Linked DNA regions of Diceros bicornis minor. The protein of the gene in region 1 interacts with the protein of each later gene in a biochemical or structural test. Links are inferred from orthologs where the notes say so. Each region holds a gene or a part of one and is shown in the gene's direction. Other genes may lie near its edges.

Region 1 (7,719 bases):
GTATGAGACCCAACCAAGCCAACCAAAGTCGTTCCACGGAAACATGACGAGAAAGAGTACTCGTCATCATTTTGGATTGAGGCTGCCAACCCCAAGCAGAACCAGAGCCAATCAGAGGGAAAGAAGGAGAGGAGTCAGCAAAAGAAAGATCAACAATTGCATCTCGGCCCCTGGATCTAGCTGTACCTGCAACCCTTTTAGATCTAAGTGAGCCAAGAGTCTGAGCTGAACTTCTGTCACTTGCAACCAAGAGTCCCATCTCCTTCATTAACGCAATAAACATGTCTGAGGGCGATTTTATACAAGCATTGTGTGGATGCTGGGAATCCAAAGTCCCTTCCCTTTAAAATACTAATTCTTAATCAGGATAGACTTTGGAGAGTCCATCCAGATGCAATGGATGGGAAAAAAAGAATTACATTTTTCCCACTAACCTCTAACTGCAGTGAGGCATTTCCTTCCAGGATCAATGAAGACAACAGAACACAGTCACGTTAGCCCAACGCACCCCCTGACCCGGCTGGAATCTCCGAGGTTGTCACATCACATCTCATGTACAGGGCAGCTCATCACGACCTCAGAATCACTACTTATCAGACCTGCTGCTAGAGTGTGTTACTCAATGTGTAAATAATGAAGCAAACGGATCACATTTTAAAATATTTTGACAACTGGATTTCAGTGTAATTGGTTTCCTTTCTAATCCTTTGTTTTATTTTGTGCATTTAAAAGCATTATTCTGAAAAGAGGCCAATAGACTTCACCAAGCTCCAGAAGCTCAGAATGAAGACCAGACTGAAAAGAGGCAGACCAGGAGACAGTAGTGGTGGCCCCCCGGTGAGCCGTGCGAGGCGACATCACAGAAGGTGGGGGCCGCCCGGCCGCGCCCGGGGTGCGTGGGGGGCGTTGGAGAAACAGTGCTCGGGCTGAGTTGCAGGGTAAGGCCTGATGGTCATCTGCCAGAGGCAGGGCACGGGAAGGAGCCTCGGCAGGGGCGGTGGCGTCGCCTTGGGGCTGAGGAAGGCGCTGCTGGTGCAGGTCACTCGAGGACACCAGCGCTGGTCAGGCTGCTACTCCGCCAGGGCAGCGTGCCGGCAGCCTGCTCTGTCGCCCGGATTCTCCCTCTCCCTGGGTCCAACTGGGGCAGTGCTCCGCTCCCTGGAGCGTTTACAGTCCCTGGGTCTGACCACGGAAGGCCACGTGGAAAGCGCTAGGAGAGAGTGCGGGAGGGCGAGATTACACCCCTTAAGCAGAGCGAGCCAGTGCTTTGTGCTCTGACAGCTAAAGTGCCGTGCAAGACGCCCAGAACAGGGACGGCGGCGCCGCCAGGCCTTCAGTGAGCTGCTGCAGCCCGAATGCAGCTTGCCGGAAAAGAGCCCTCGCGTCCAGCAGGGGTCCCGGTGGGGCAGGGGCCCAGGAGGGCGCTGGGGGCCCCCGGGCACTTCCCCTCCAGCTAAAGAGGGTGCTCTGGCAATGAGGTCCCCAGAAGAGCCCTGTGAGGGCCCTTTATCTTAGGGAGGCTGCCAGCAGGTGGGCTTCTCTGGAGTGGGGGAGGGACAGTGAGGGGCCATCAGCAGCCATGGCAGCACTCAGAGTGGAGGCCAGGTCCCAGGTGTCCACAAAGCACTTTGTGGTCACGTTCAAAAGTCATCTCCCCAGACCTGGAAGTAGGCAGTGGCCCCCCTCCACATGACTGAGCCCCTTAGGGCCCACGTCTCCAGGGACTGCCACTTCCCTCCACTTCGCCAGCCGAGTGCTCACAGGCTTGGGCTCTGGGGCTGCACCTGCGGCTGCAGGTGAAACACAACCTGCCAGCTCTTCTGGAACATTCCCTCCCTTGCTCAAATACTCCCCATGTGGACGATTGTAAAACCCCTCTCAGCCAACCACACACGTGTAGGGCCACACGGAGGAGCAGAGGTCGGGAAATGGTGTCTCTCTCGTGTCGGCATGGGTGACGGGGAGGCTGAGGAGAGCCTGTACCGCCTGAACCGCCACACCGCGCGTCTCCTCTCATGGGATTCCAGCATCACCTGGGCAGTCTCCTGGCGCATCTGCACACAGACAGCGTCAACCTTCTGGCGGGAAACGTAGAGCAACTTCACTAAACGTGGCCCACGTATCTAAACCTTCACCATTTCTGGGAAGCTCGAAGACAAATTGGTCGATATTCTGTCTTAGATACATTTCAAATTAGTATCAGAGGGGACCAGGAGTGGGTCAGAGGTGACACAAGATCGCCACCCCCGTGAGCGGGGGTTTGTTTGACTCTTATGCACATGTTTAAAATGTCCCGTAATAGAAGGTAAAGCAGCCACAACAAGAAGGAAGAGACAAACGGGGTCACTTTGTGTGACCCGGGAGGTCGTGTTCCAGGGAAGGCACATTTCTGGGGGCCTCCCAGGTGCTGGGGGGGTCGTGCTATTGTCTCATCGAATCCTCTCCTGTCCCAGTACACAGATGAGAGAACAGGCTAGGAGGGGTTTACGACTGTGGGAGGCCCTGAGGCCAGAGCATGGGCTCCAGGTCAAGTGTGCTCAGTTGGTTTCTGCTGTGCCTGGCGCCCTCGACTCTGCAGACGGTGAGGAAAGGAGAGTGGTAACTGCCATGCACCGCCCTTGACCAGATTAGAGCATGGCACAGTCTAGCAGCTGAGAGAGGCTCGGGCCGCATCCCCCTGCTCGGGCCCCCTCCAGCAGCCTCCTGCGGCCGCCCCAGAACCTGTCTAGACACTGGACGTGAGGGACATGCTCCTCAGGGGCGGCTGGCTCCTCCGGCAGGCAGGTCTGCCAGAAAGCGCTCACAGTGAGCGGAAATCTACTCCCTAATCTAATTTCCACCCATCTGTCCTCATTTTGCCTCTCCTAACCCCACGGGGTAATCCTTCTTCCCGGACAGCTTTGCAAATATTTGATGCCACTGTCCTGTGCTCCACACATCGATCTTCCAGCCTAAAAGTTCCGGGTCTGTCAACTACCCTCCCACGGCCTGCTGGTGGCTGTCCTTGGCACCACAAGGGTACTGTGTTCTAGACGTGCCTCACCAAGGACGAGTACAGGTGAGCCCTCCGTCTCTGCAGTGCTTGCCTTGATGGATCCTAAGAGCGGGGCTCTCTTCCGGGGGGGATGCTGTTGAAACAGTCATGCCCTAACCCCTTCCCATCAGGTGTTGGTCCACATGGGATAGGGGCAGAGATTCACGGATGCCCCCAACTGGAAGGGAGCTTGGAAAGGACGTCTCCCCACTTTCCTGTACAGTCACCAGCACCGAACTCAGAGCACACAGGGCTGCGAGCTTTTCCTGCAATTCTCTCCCTGTGCTCAGGCAACCCTGGAGATGGTGGCCTATCCTCACCCCGGGAAGGACAGGACAGGGCTCCCAGGGCACCTTGGAAGCATGGAGCCAAGACTCAACCTGTAGTCTCAGAGCCCAGGTCATGACCCCACTCTCAGAGTTGGGGGGTGAGCTCCCGCCCAGCCCTGCCTGCACCCTTGGCATGGCTCCGCCATCTTCCCGCTTTTGCTGGCCCGGGGTCCCGTCCACTGGCCCTAAGGCCCAGCTCTCCGGGTCCCAGCACAGAAAGGCAGGAGGCCCCTGAAGGCAACTGAGGCTCTTGGGCTGTCACTCGTCATTTAGGAGCAGCTTCATTTTTAAAGTCTCGCTCTGGCGCTCAGCAGCCGCGGTCAGTAGGAAGCGATTTCGGCTGCTCCGGAGGGGCTGCAGCCCAGAGAGCTATGGCCAGGCTTGGTGAGGGAGCACCCCGACTCCTGCGCGCAGGGAAAGCCTGGCTGGTTCATCAGGAACCGTGCCCTTTCCCGGGACGGTGTCCCTCAGCCAGTCAGTCACTGTCCCAGGCCTGTCACTTCTCCCTCGGGGGCGGGGGGGAGGCATCCTGGAGCAGTCCTTTGAGGGCACCCAGGTCCCCACACCCGTGGGTTAGTACAAATGTGTGTCACCTAGGGACTGGGGAACCCTTGGCCTCTGGAGTGGAAAATGGTGCACACTTAGCAAACAGTTGGCATGGGGCCCAGAGGACCATGGAAAAGCCTAGACAGGAGGGACCTGCCCGCCTCACACTGAGGGAATGGCAGGGGGCCTGGTTTGGAATGTTCTCCCCCAAAGTCAGATTTGCTTAGAAGCAAGGCAGCAAAGTGTCCCGGGAGCCCGCACGCTTTGCCCACACATCTGTGCAGGTCAGGTCCCCAGCAGAGCTGCACCAGGGGGTGCGGGAATCCTTGAGGGTTTGGAGAGGGCCTGGGAAGAGTGGGGTCAGGCCAGACTCCGGAAGGGGCAAGCTGGTCCATTAGCAGGTGGTGAGGAGTGGGTGACTGGGCACTTCATCAGAACCCGTGCTGGACCCAGGAGAGGCCAGGCCAGGACAGGCGGGCAGCCTCTGGGGCCGAGCGCACGGTGGGAGGTGGCAGAGGCGGTAGGAGGAGGAGGGCGGGGCAGAGAGGGAGTGGAGGAAGGTGAAGGAGGAGGAGGGAAGGGGAGGGGACGAGAGGGTGGGGAGAGGAGGAGGGCGGGGAGGAGGCGGAGGGAGGGGACAGGCAAGGGAGGAGGTGGGAAGGGGAGGAGGGGCGCGGAGGAGGGGCCTGCCTGCCGGCCCCGCGCCCTCGCGCGCCGCAGCATCCCCGCGCCTCCGGGCCGAGCCGGGCCTCCGCCGCCCTCCGAGCCGGGCCTCCTCCTCCGCCGCCGCCGCCGCTGCGGCCGCCATTCCTGCGCCCGTGCTCGCCAGCCGGGTCCCGCTCGGTGTCCGCGGCCAGGACGCTCCGCGCCAGGTAAGGGCGGGCGGGCGGAGGCAGCGCGCGGACCAGGCAGGTGCGCGGGGGCGGTGGGACCCTCCCCGGACACCTCCTGGAGCCCCCGCCCCGGAGCCTCGGACCCCCGTCCCCTCCCAGAGTGCCTTCCTCGGACCCCTCCCCGGACCTCCAAGTCCCCTCCCTTCCCCGCCTCCCTCCCGGCCCCGGCGCGCAGGTGGCTCCGAGCGGCGCGGGGGACGCGGGGGCGCGGGGCGCGCAACAGAACCAGGCCGGGAGAGGGGCGGCGCTCTCGGCCAGGCCCGCCGCTCTCCTGTCCGCCGGGCCCCCGCCGCGCTCCGGCCACTCCGGCCTGGCGGGGCCCCGCGGGTTCTATTTATGTCGCGGAGGCCGGGGCCCTGCGCGCAGGACCCGGAGCCGCGCACTCAGACAGGTGGGGCAGGTCGGGCCACGGCAGAGTGCTGCAGGCCTCGGCTTCCTTTAGGGTTTGGCTTCGTGGTTCTAGAAAGAGCCGAGGAGAATCACCAGCTTCGGCTCGGGCTGCACCTGTTGCAGGCGCCTGGTGAGCTGCAGGGAGCTGGATCCGCTGGGGTTTTGCCAGTGTAAACATGGAAAGGAGAGTAGGGTCCTCCTCTTCATTTATTTGATTTAGTATTGGGGGGCGAGGGTGCCTGGGAGTCTGTAGGTGGGCAGGTCACTGACAATGAGGCCTGTTGTCAAGGGCTGGGCCCTGCTTTCTCGAGCGTGTGCCGCGCCAAGTTGCTCTGCTTTTGTTTTGAAAATCTCCCCTTATGTTGAGCGGGTCCAGGCTGTGGGTGGCCAGGTGCCTGCAGGCCAGGCCCGACCTGGGGCCTGTGGCCAAGGGGCCAGCCCTCCTGTTCTGAGTCTATTCAAATCCACCAGGCGCCACCGAGTGGAAGTTTCCTTTCCAGGGAGTGAGGTGACACCGGTGGCCTGTCACCTCATATCTGCCCCAGGCCTGGGGCCTGCCTGCTGGCTGCCTGGGCGCCGTTATTTGGGAATGTTTACTGTGTCCCAGAAACAGGCCGCTTCTGCCAAGGCTGTGGCCAGGATTCTAGAAGAGATAATGCCCCGATTGTCACTTGAACGGTTGGTGTCTGTGCACATCGTCTGCAAGAATAAAGAAGAAGAAAGAGGCCTGCTCTGAGTACCCCTGGCACCATGTCCTTCCAGGGATAAAGCCTTCAGGAACGAGGGGACGGTGAGGGACACACCGGGGCGTTTCACACCCGGGAGGCCAGATCTTCAGACTGAAGAAGTGTCTGTAGTACACCCAGCAGGTACATTGGATCAGGAAATAAAAACTCATCGCTGGCACAGAGAGGCAGCTGTGCCGGGTCCCTCTCTGGCACAGTGTTGCAGAACCGGGAGCTGGCATAGGAGGGGGACTGGCTCCCCATGATGGGCTTCGCCATCTGTCCATCTGTCTGTCTGTCTGCCCTCTGAGACAGTGCCGGTGAGTTCCTCTGCCCGCCCTCCCGAGGAGCACATGTCTGTTAGAAAATGCAGTCTTGCAGAGACCCCATCCCCCGAGACTGGGGAACTCTGGTGGCCTTGCTCAGGGCCCTGGTGGGTGGTGCACCCACCCCGGCTGAGCTGTGGTGCAAGGCCATGCCACACAGCGGTCCAGTGGCTCTGGGCTGGGGAGATGACCTGATGACATCATCCGTGTGACCCCCTCTGTGTGGGTGTCCGAGGCAGATTCCGTGTCTCCACACCAGGCAGGGATGTGGAGGCCAGCGCTGGGAAGCGTGTGCTGATGGCCGGCTCTGAGTGGGGGAGGACTCGCCACCGCTGCCAGCACACGGCAGAATCAATACTGCTTTGCAAAGATCAATGGCTGTCTCGTCGGTCCTCTGTGCTTCTGGAGGGAGCCTGTCTCCCCACACCCTCCTTCTGGGTCCCATTTCTGGGGATGGGTGGGGTCGGGAGGGGGCTGCAGAGCCTCTTCTGCCCCCTTGTCCTGTGTGGTGAGCCTGGGGCCAGAGCTGCTGGGTTGGCAGCTGGGACCTGTGTCCCCCCAGGCCTCCCCAGTGTCCTGGGTTGGGCCCCTACTGCTATGAAAGTGAATTTGCTTCCTGATTGTTTATTTACAGCGACCTTCCCCGTCATGCTAAGAATTTGCTTGGTTGAAAGAACTTGGGGGGTGAGGTGGCGGGCAGTGCCCCTGTGCCCCCAGTCACCCGCCTCCAGGGTCTCGTGGGAGGGACAGCGGTGACCTGTTAACCGTCCGGTGTAGGGGTGGCCGTGGGGTGATGCTGGCCTCGTAGAGATGTACAGATGAATCTGCTGTCGGCTGACTGTCGAGGGTGGTCCCTGGGAGAAAGGCTCCGTCCTTGCAGGTCCCTCCTGGGGCCGCTCTTTCTCTCTCGACTTTTCCGGTTGCAGAGGGGAGAGGAGAGGTAAGAAGGAGGTTGGCTAGCAAAAGTGACAGAGGCATGGTGGGAGGCCCTCTCTCCCTCCCCCTGGGATCGGCAGGTGCAGTCCCACAGCTCCCCCGCGCCACTTGAGGCCCGTGGCCGTCTGGGGACATCTCTGGGTGTCACCCGAGAGCAGAGCCAGTCGAGCAGGCTCCTCTGCACTGGGGACTTTGCACAGCTCATGGCCCATCTGCTGTCGAGAGGCGACTCAGGAAAGCAGAGATTTATTAGGAGGAAGTATCTGCTGATTCAGGCAAGTGGAGACGGCGGGCGAGGGGGCCTCGCCTGGAGCTGGGTGGTGCTATTCAGCATGCCAGTTAAGGTGATGCTCGGGATGAGTGAATTGGCTCATCTCCATTCCGTGGAGTGGCTCGCTTTCCAGTGAGCCTGACCCCCACCCAGTGCACGGACGTGTACCTGGCAGTGCCACGCTGGGCCAGCTCCATGCTGCTGCTCCTGGCATTACAGCAGCCCGGGTGCCGTCCCCCCACAGCTGCCTCCCCTGCCTGCCCCCTGTG
Region 2 (7,695 bases), on another chromosome or scaffold:
ACATCATCCCTGATTTCCAGGCCAGGCCTTCCCACAGGCCACTGGCTGGTCTCTGGACTGGCCAGCCTTGAGTCAGTTGCCCACTTGGTTATCTCAGTCAGCTGAGGCCAGAGGAGGTGGGGGTCACGTAACACATTTTTGGGGGTCTAGGGCTGCCCCATCAGCAGGGGTTTGTCCCCCTTAACAGTGGCTGTGGGTGTGGCTGGTACAATGTTTGATGTGTTTAGTAAAGGAGTTGTAGTCCTATGGAGCAGCCTTTTGTCACAAGCCCTCCTAGTCACGCGATTAGTTCATAACGAGCTTACAGTCCACTGAGCGCAGTTTTCTAATTTGTAAAATAGGTGAGTTGGGCTCACTAAGATCCCTTGAGCCTCCAAAATGCCTGATAACCACCTTTCCGCTCAAATTTTTGTACATCAACTATTGTTAAGCCAGACTCCCTCCCTCCTAAGCTTATGTAATTTATTTTTTGAACCCCAAATTTGATTTGTCAATAAATGCTAGCGATTATTATTTATCTTTATTACCTTCCTTCTGTGGTTTGGAGCTGTCACTTTGCCCTGCTGCAACGTTAGATTCTTGAGTCTGCCTTTCGGTGTATTTGCTTTTCCTGACAGCTCTCTGCATCAGCTATACGAATGTGCTTTCTGTGTCACCATTCAAGACAGGACCAAGCAGAGGCCTGAGGTAGTCACGGGAGGCCCACCAGCACTCTTTGGCTTCAGTGATCAAAGAGCCACGAATCCCTTTAACAGTGCTATCGATGGCCCACCGTTCTCTCTCCTGACTCTGGAGCTATTTCAACAGACTTTAAAGATGCTTTTGTTAAAATCTACACCTACTATAATCTGCAGCCATCATACCCTTGATTGATGTCAGACATCATCTGACAATCCCATGTTTTACAGACAGGAAATCGTGACTTGCCCAAAGCCACACACCGTGGCAGGGCTGGCTTCTTTATCTATAATACCATGTTCTTTGCATCATGCTTCCTTCACAGTTCAGGAAACTTTTCTATTGCTGCTGTAACAAACTGCCACAAACTTAGTGGCTTAAAAAATACAAATTTCTTATCTTACGTGTCTGTTGGTCAGAAGTTTGACACAGGTCTCGCTGGACTAAAGTTGAGGTGTCGGCAGGGCTGGTTCCTTTCTGGAAGCTCTAGGGGAGAATCCGTTTCCTCGCCTTTTCTAGCTTCCAGAGGCTGCCTGCATTCCTTGGCTCATGGTTCCTTTCTCCACCTTTGAAGCCAGCAACTGGGTGAAGTCCATCTCATGCTGCATCTCTCTGCCCCTTCTTCCACTGTCGAATCTCTTTCTTCCCATGGCTCTGAGAGCTTCTCCCTTTCAAAGACTCACATGATTAGAGTGGCCTACAGGGATAGAACAGGATGATCTCCCCATCTAAAGGTCCTTAACTTAATCACATTTAAATTTTTTGTCAGGTAAAGTAACATATTTACAGGTTCTGGGGATTTGAGTGTGAACATTTGGGGAGGCCATTGCTTTGCCTACAACAGCCTGTCTGCAGATTAGGGCCTCCCAGAGCCAGTGCATTAGAATAATGAAGACAGATATAACCTGACTTGCGGAGTCTCTGGAGACTTCCTGGGCTTCTTGATGTTGGCTGGACTTCACCAAAGTTCACACAGATGAGCCCCTGTCCACAGGGCCCGTTCTTCCCAGCTGCCCTCAGAGCCAGGCTCCCTCCTCCTGTCCACCTTAACAACCACTCCCTCTAGTAAGCAGCAGTGAGGTCAGGGGAGGGCGAGGAATGGGCTTTGGGGTTTGTCCTCTAGGATCTCAGAGGGTATTATGGGCCTCGAAATGCCAAAATGTACGGCTCTGGCCCCTCAGTTCCTGAAAACCCTCCAGGTGTCCTGACATCCGGGCGGGTGAGGTGCAGCTCGGAGTTACAGGTGTCCTTTCTGATGTCCAGGTTTGAAAGGTAATGTGAATGTCTATATCACAAAGACCCCATGTGACACACACGGGGATAGAGAAGGATCCCACTCTCACACTGTATTCACAAGAGAAGGCCACAGAAGAGAATGCAGAATGTCACAAGGAGATACGTAATCATCACCAAAAGAGCTAGAGCAGAGACACGCAGCCGCCTGTGTAGGACGTCCACGGATCGTGGGTGTGCAGCTCAGCATGTCCCAGCTCCCTCCCCAGCCCATGGACTCTTTTTGAACGCATACTGGAAGCTTGGTTTTGGCACTTTACCTGGCATCCAGGCCATGTTCACTTGTGTGCTGGTTCTGAAAACTGGGACATTAGCTACAGTTTACAGAATTCTTACAAGTTTCCTGCAGTTGATTTACACACATGCTGCCCCCCCACCCCGTTCACCACAGATACAGGTACCCTGACTGCCCCCACCCACCCTGCCAGCAGCTGCTATACACGCTCCCACTCGTTCTCACGGGCCCCTGAGGCCCCCAGGGAGTCACCAACTCATACCACTGCCTGTTATCTGGGGGAGGCCCTGACAGGGTGCCTGGGGGAGGGGCCTGGGTAGTTGGAAACTTTAATCAAGCGGGGACGGTTAACAGCTGCAGGGATATCTTAGGAAGCAGTGAGCCTTAGAAAGGAAATATTTGTAGAATCCGTCCCCATGACCTTTTAAGACTTTTCTGAAAATGGCCCGTCATTCCTTGCCATGGATAAAAATAACATCTATCACAGGCATCTTTCAGTCCACAGAATCCTTCGTGCTTAACCCTCCACACAGGCCCTAACATAGACGCTCACCTCACACAGACACCCCAACAGACCACAAGGACCCAGGGATGCATGTGCATGCATGCACACTCACACACATGCACACACCTGCCTCTCCCTTTGGCTCCTTCCTCGGGGGACAAACATACTCTTCTGCCTCAGTGGGCACTTTCTCTGGAGTGGGATGGGTGGTGCTGTCTGGCAGAGCTCTAGACCACCCCACGGGCCCACCACAGTGCTCCTCCACACACCACTAACCATACACTATGAGCTGTTAGCGGTTAGCGTGCGGTGAGGACCTCTTTCCCCTTGCTTTCCCTCCCCACAGCTGCAGAGGGGAGTTTCTGAGGGGGCGGATGTCACCCATTGGGGGTGGGTTTTTTCCCACTTTCATATCTTGTCTTGTCCTAGCCTCTTCTCACCCCCAGAAGAAGGCCTTTTTGGGGTCACACCCTGGTAAAAGAACGTTAGGGAGCAACTCTGAACCACTGCTCAGCTGCCCCCTCCTCCCCACTGTGTCCCCCTCCTCCATCAGCCAGGCCCTCACCACCAATGAGCCCCTCAGCCCCTAGTCTTCCCCCATAAATGCTCCTTTTTCCTCGGGGCTGGGTGTAATGGGACAATGTTGGGACTTTTTAAAAGAAGAACCTTACTAGGGAAGTAAGAGAGGAATCACAACCAAACCAAGAAAATATCAAACCCTCAGCTGGTACAGAGTATGCTCAGCACCCTGCTGCTTTGTCTCTTTGCTCCCCTCTGAGAAGCTGCAGCCCTTCCTCATTCTCCTTTGCTCGCCTGCCCTCTGACTCCCCACAAGAGTTCATGAGCGGTCAGTACAGCAGGCTCTTCCACAAGCTGGGGTGGTCCCTCCTCCTCAGGACAGCCCAGGCCTATCCCAGAGCCCCTGGCTCCTGGACTCAGCTTGCTGGATCCAGCTCAGATACTGGGACACAGGGGACACTATGAGTCTGGCAGGGGGCAAGATGGGATGAGGAAGGGGCTGATTGGCCACAGGTGTGATCACTCTGGCAACAAGGGTGGAGGGGGCCAGGGCAAGGCTGTGAAGAGGGGATCTGGGGTGTTTACAGAGGAGAAACAGTTTGGTCCCAGACCCTCTGCATCCTCTAAAGGGCTACCACACTCCCAGGAAGGGCTTCAGACAGAGAACCTCCCTGTGTGTGGGATCTGCAGCAGCTCTGTGGGACTACAGCAGGAGAGGAGCTGAGTCCACTCTGAAAGCCCCCAAACCGATAGGGTGATGCGCCTCACCAATTTAGGGACCCCTCTATGGGAACCCATACCTGCTAGGAACCCCAGGATGATGAGGAACTAGGGCTCCACACTAGAATCTCCCCAATTTGATGAGAAGGGTGGGGCCCCACCCTGGAGCAATCATTGGGGAGATCCTCTAGGGTCAGTTGAGCACAAAAGAGCTCTGACTACGCATAGATACGCCTGTGGACGCTGCAGCCAGGAGAGAAGTGTGGGGCAGATCAGGGTAGATGAGCAGAAGGATGGGCATGAAGCCCAGCACCGCCCAAGTGGGTCTGGGATGCATGATGGGGAGCACAGGCAGGACACAGGGACAGGCCTGAGTAGTGGTCCTGTGACACCCCCACCCCTACCACATGCTCTGGACCTCAGTTTGCCCTCCCCTGCTCCTCTGACCAGGACTCAAGGATGCAATCCGCTTCACTAAACCCATCTGTCTGAGACTTGCTCACATCTTCCTCTTTTGTGACTGGAAGTCACAGGGCAGAGCACTAAGCTGGGTGGTCACAGAGTGAACCCAGAACCTACGAGTGTGAAGGGACAGAGGGGAGCGTGGCAAGGGAGGCTTTGGGCCATTGGGAGACTGGGGAGACAGGTGGGGGCAGAGAAGCTCAGGACCATGGCTGAGGCCATCACCTATGCAGACCTGCGGTTTGTGAAGGCTCCCCTGAAGAAGGGCATCGCCAGCCGAGTAGGACAGGGTAAGGGTGCATGAGCCCTCTCCTTGACTCTGCATCCCCAACCTCCTTCATAACCCATCCCCACTCTATAGACCCCATTCCGACTCCCACCTTGCTCCCTTTTCTCTCATCTCCAGATCCAGAGGCTGACGAGGACGGGGAACTCACCTATGAGAACGTACAGGTGCCCCCAGTTCCAGGGGGCTCGAGCTCGGCTCCTGCTGGACTAGGGGACAAAGCAGGTATGGAGAGCCCAGGTATGTGTTCGTCGGGGGCTGTGTCTTGAGCTGGGAGGCCACAGTCCGCATTCTTGGGAGGACAAGATCCTTGGGGAAAGGAGAGGGTTCTTAAGAAAGAAAAGCGTGAGCACTGGATAAAGGGAGCCAGGGGGAGAATGAAGCTCCCTGCGGCAGGGGAGATCCCAGGGGAAGATCAGGGCTCCGCTGTGGGATCGGGACAGCCCTGGGGGAGGGGAGTCCCAGCGGGGATGGGGAGTCTACGGAGAGGGAAGGCAGGGTTGGGGAGGGGGTCTGGGACCGGCAGATGAGGGCCCCTGAGGAAAGGATAAAGGGAGACCCGGGAGGGAGAAGAGGGGGTCCCCGGGGAAAGAGCAGGTAGACCCGGGAGGGACACGGGAGATCCCGGGAGTGCTGGGGGCCCCGGCGCAGCGGAGCCCGGGGTGGGGGAAGGGACATTTCCGGGCCTCCCTCATCCAGCTGGAGCCGCCGGTCCGCAGGGCTCCAGTCGCAGCCGCCGCCCGCCGCGCGGAGCTCCGTGACGTCGTCGGCGGCCAGGCGCCTCCTCCGCGCTGAGTGCGGCGCCCCCGCCCAGCGCACGCGCGCCCCCGGGCGGGTCCCGGCCGGCGCTGCGGGGTCCTCGGGGGCGGCTCTGGTCGGTGGTGAGCCGGGGAGGCCCCGGACCATTCCCCAACTCCTTCACTCGTCCTCGTATAGATCTTTCCGACGTGTCGCCCCAGACCCCCCCCCCCCGCCCCCCTTACGATGGTCCCATTCACATACCCACTCCCCTGTCTCGGTCTGAGACAGTTCCACTCCTACCGGGTAGTGCCCCTCACTCCTTACCGGTAACAATCGTCAACCTTTATTCTGGAACACCTTCTTCCGCTACCTGCGGAAACTCACTCCCGACACAAACAGCCATGCCTGCCCCAGGTCGTCGAGGGATGCTCTTTCCCATGAATCTCCCCACCCACCCATCCCCCAGTCTGTAAACTGGTTCCTGGGGCTCACCGGCCTCATCCCACTGTCTCCCTAAGGCCGTGCAGCCTTCAGGCAGTACCTCGTGCTCGGCGCGCTCCTCACCTGCTTGCTGCTGGGGGTGGCCTCCATCTGCCTGGGAGTGCGCTGTGAGTATGGCTGACCCCCACTTCCCACTTACCCCTAACGACTTTCTCCTCTGCTCTCCCCAACGGCTGCTCTTCCTCAGCAAGGCCCAGGGGCACTACCACCACATCCTTAGCTTTCCATCTGGTTTCCAGCCAGGTCTGTTTTAGAAGGCCATCTTCCTAAATTGTCCTTACCTAATCCAGTACCTCCTTAAGCTGTAGGTGGTCAGATCCTATATTTCAGCCTGTTATGCAGAAAGTTGCAGGAAGCAGAAAAAGGACTGGCACTGAAGTCTCCCGGCACCAGGGTGCGGCTGAAGAAGACACCCTCCAAATCTCTCTTTATGGCCAAACAGATCTGCAGGTGTCTCAGCAGCTCCAGCAGATGAACAGGGTTCTGGAAGCCACTAACAGCAGCCTGAGACAGCAGCTCACCCAAAAGATGACCCAGTTGGGGCAGAGGGAAGCAGCTCTGCAGGGGTCCCGTAGGGAGCTGGCCCAGACTCAGGAAGCACTGCAAGTGGAACAGAAAGTTGGCCTGGCTACCAAAGAGCAGTTGCAGGCCTGCCAGTCCGACAGGGAGAAGACAAAAGAGGACTTGCAAAGGGAGGAGGAGGAGAGGAGGAACCTGGAACAGAGGCTGAGCAGCATGCAGGACACACTGAGGCCCTTCTTCACATGCCCCTCATCAGGTATCTGCTCTGGGAGAGGAGAAATGGGAGGGTCTGCTGTGAGGGATGGATTGAAGTGAGGAGACACTTGGGGCAGCGGTCTGTCTGTCTATCAGGGAGCCACTGACTTGTTCAGGAAAGGAGTAGTGAACCAGAGTGGTGGCTGACATGAGCTGTGCAGCCTTGACCAACAGGGAGAAGGATCTAGCTGCATACTGGAGTTAGGGGGACTCGCCCAGCTTTAAGGCGGATCCTGAGGTGGAGAGGAGGGTAGCAGCCAGCAATGCAAATCATACTGTCCAAAGCAGCAAACTCAGGTCTCATCTGGCTTGACATCAGTGTCAAGGATCTGGAAACTCCCTGAATTTGGATGTGAAATTGGTTGTTTGCCCATATTTCTAAAGAAAGTGTCTATAGCTTTAATTAATTCTCACTACATCTGAGATTCCCCAAAAGATAGAGAACTACTGATTGACAAGGTGCAGTCTGGTGGTAGGGCAAGGCAGCTGAAGCTCTTGAGTGTGGGTGGCACTCACAGTGAGGTGGGTGGGGGTTTCGCGGGGTAGGGAATTGGGGTGGAGTGTTCATCCATTTTAAGAGCAGGAGTCAAGCCGGTATGTGGGGATGAGGGAGGGGACACATAAAAGGGGAGAGGCTGTGCCAAAGCAGGCTGAGGTTCGAGGCAGGGTGCCAGGCCCAAGGGGACTGGTGTGTTCATGAACTGGTTATCTATGTTTGAGGTTAGGCTCTGTCTAGCTCAGGGGCCATCTGGATACTCCCCCAAGGCTTAGACAGCGAGATCATGTGCGGACACCCCCAGCCCTCATTTCTTTAACCTTCCTATTCTCTATGACCCTCAGTTCCTTGCCAGTGCTGCTACATGTCCCCTCAGCTGCACCCTAGACCTCAGTATCCCAAACTGCTCTTCTGCTGAAAGGCAGGTTTCAGACCTCCACTCTGACCACAACTGCCCACCCCTCCACGCTTCTCCACACTTC

Evidence for each region. The genes of interacting proteins can lie anywhere in the genome.
Region 2: the proteins of SEMA4D (region 1) and CD72 form a complex in vitro, tested with the Homo sapiens proteins (2 studies listed by BioGRID and IntAct). The link is inferred for Diceros bicornis minor from reciprocal best matches to the Homo sapiens genes SEMA4D and CD72.

The regions. Positions count from the first base shown.
Region 1 is NC_080761.1:56,672,580-56,680,298, forward strand, and holds the start of SEMA4D (semaphorin-4D), read left to right. Parts: upstream 1-4,708; 5' UTR 4,709-4,781; intron 4,782-7,719. UniProt on the Homo sapiens protein: Cell surface receptor for PLXNB1 and PLXNB2 that plays an important role in cell-cell signaling. Regulates GABAergic synapse development. Promotes the development of inhibitory synapses in a PLXNB1-dependent manner.
Region 2 is NC_080767.1:4,063,514-4,071,208, reverse strand, and holds the start of CD72 (B-cell differentiation antigen CD72), read left to right. Parts: upstream 1-4,609; 5' UTR 4,610-4,620; coding exon 4,621-4,702; intron 4,703-4,818; coding exon 4,819-4,923; intron 4,924-5,417; coding exon 5,418-5,493; intron 5,494-5,746; coding exon 5,747-5,853; intron 5,854-5,957; coding exon 5,958-6,047; intron 6,048-6,382; coding exon 6,383-6,718; intron 6,719-7,695. UniProt on the Homo sapiens protein: Co-receptor of B cell receptor (BCR) that plays both positive and negative roles on B-cell functions. Recognizes the Sm/ribonucleoprotein (RNP) self-antigen ligand, and coligation of CD72 and BCR inhibits BCR signaling.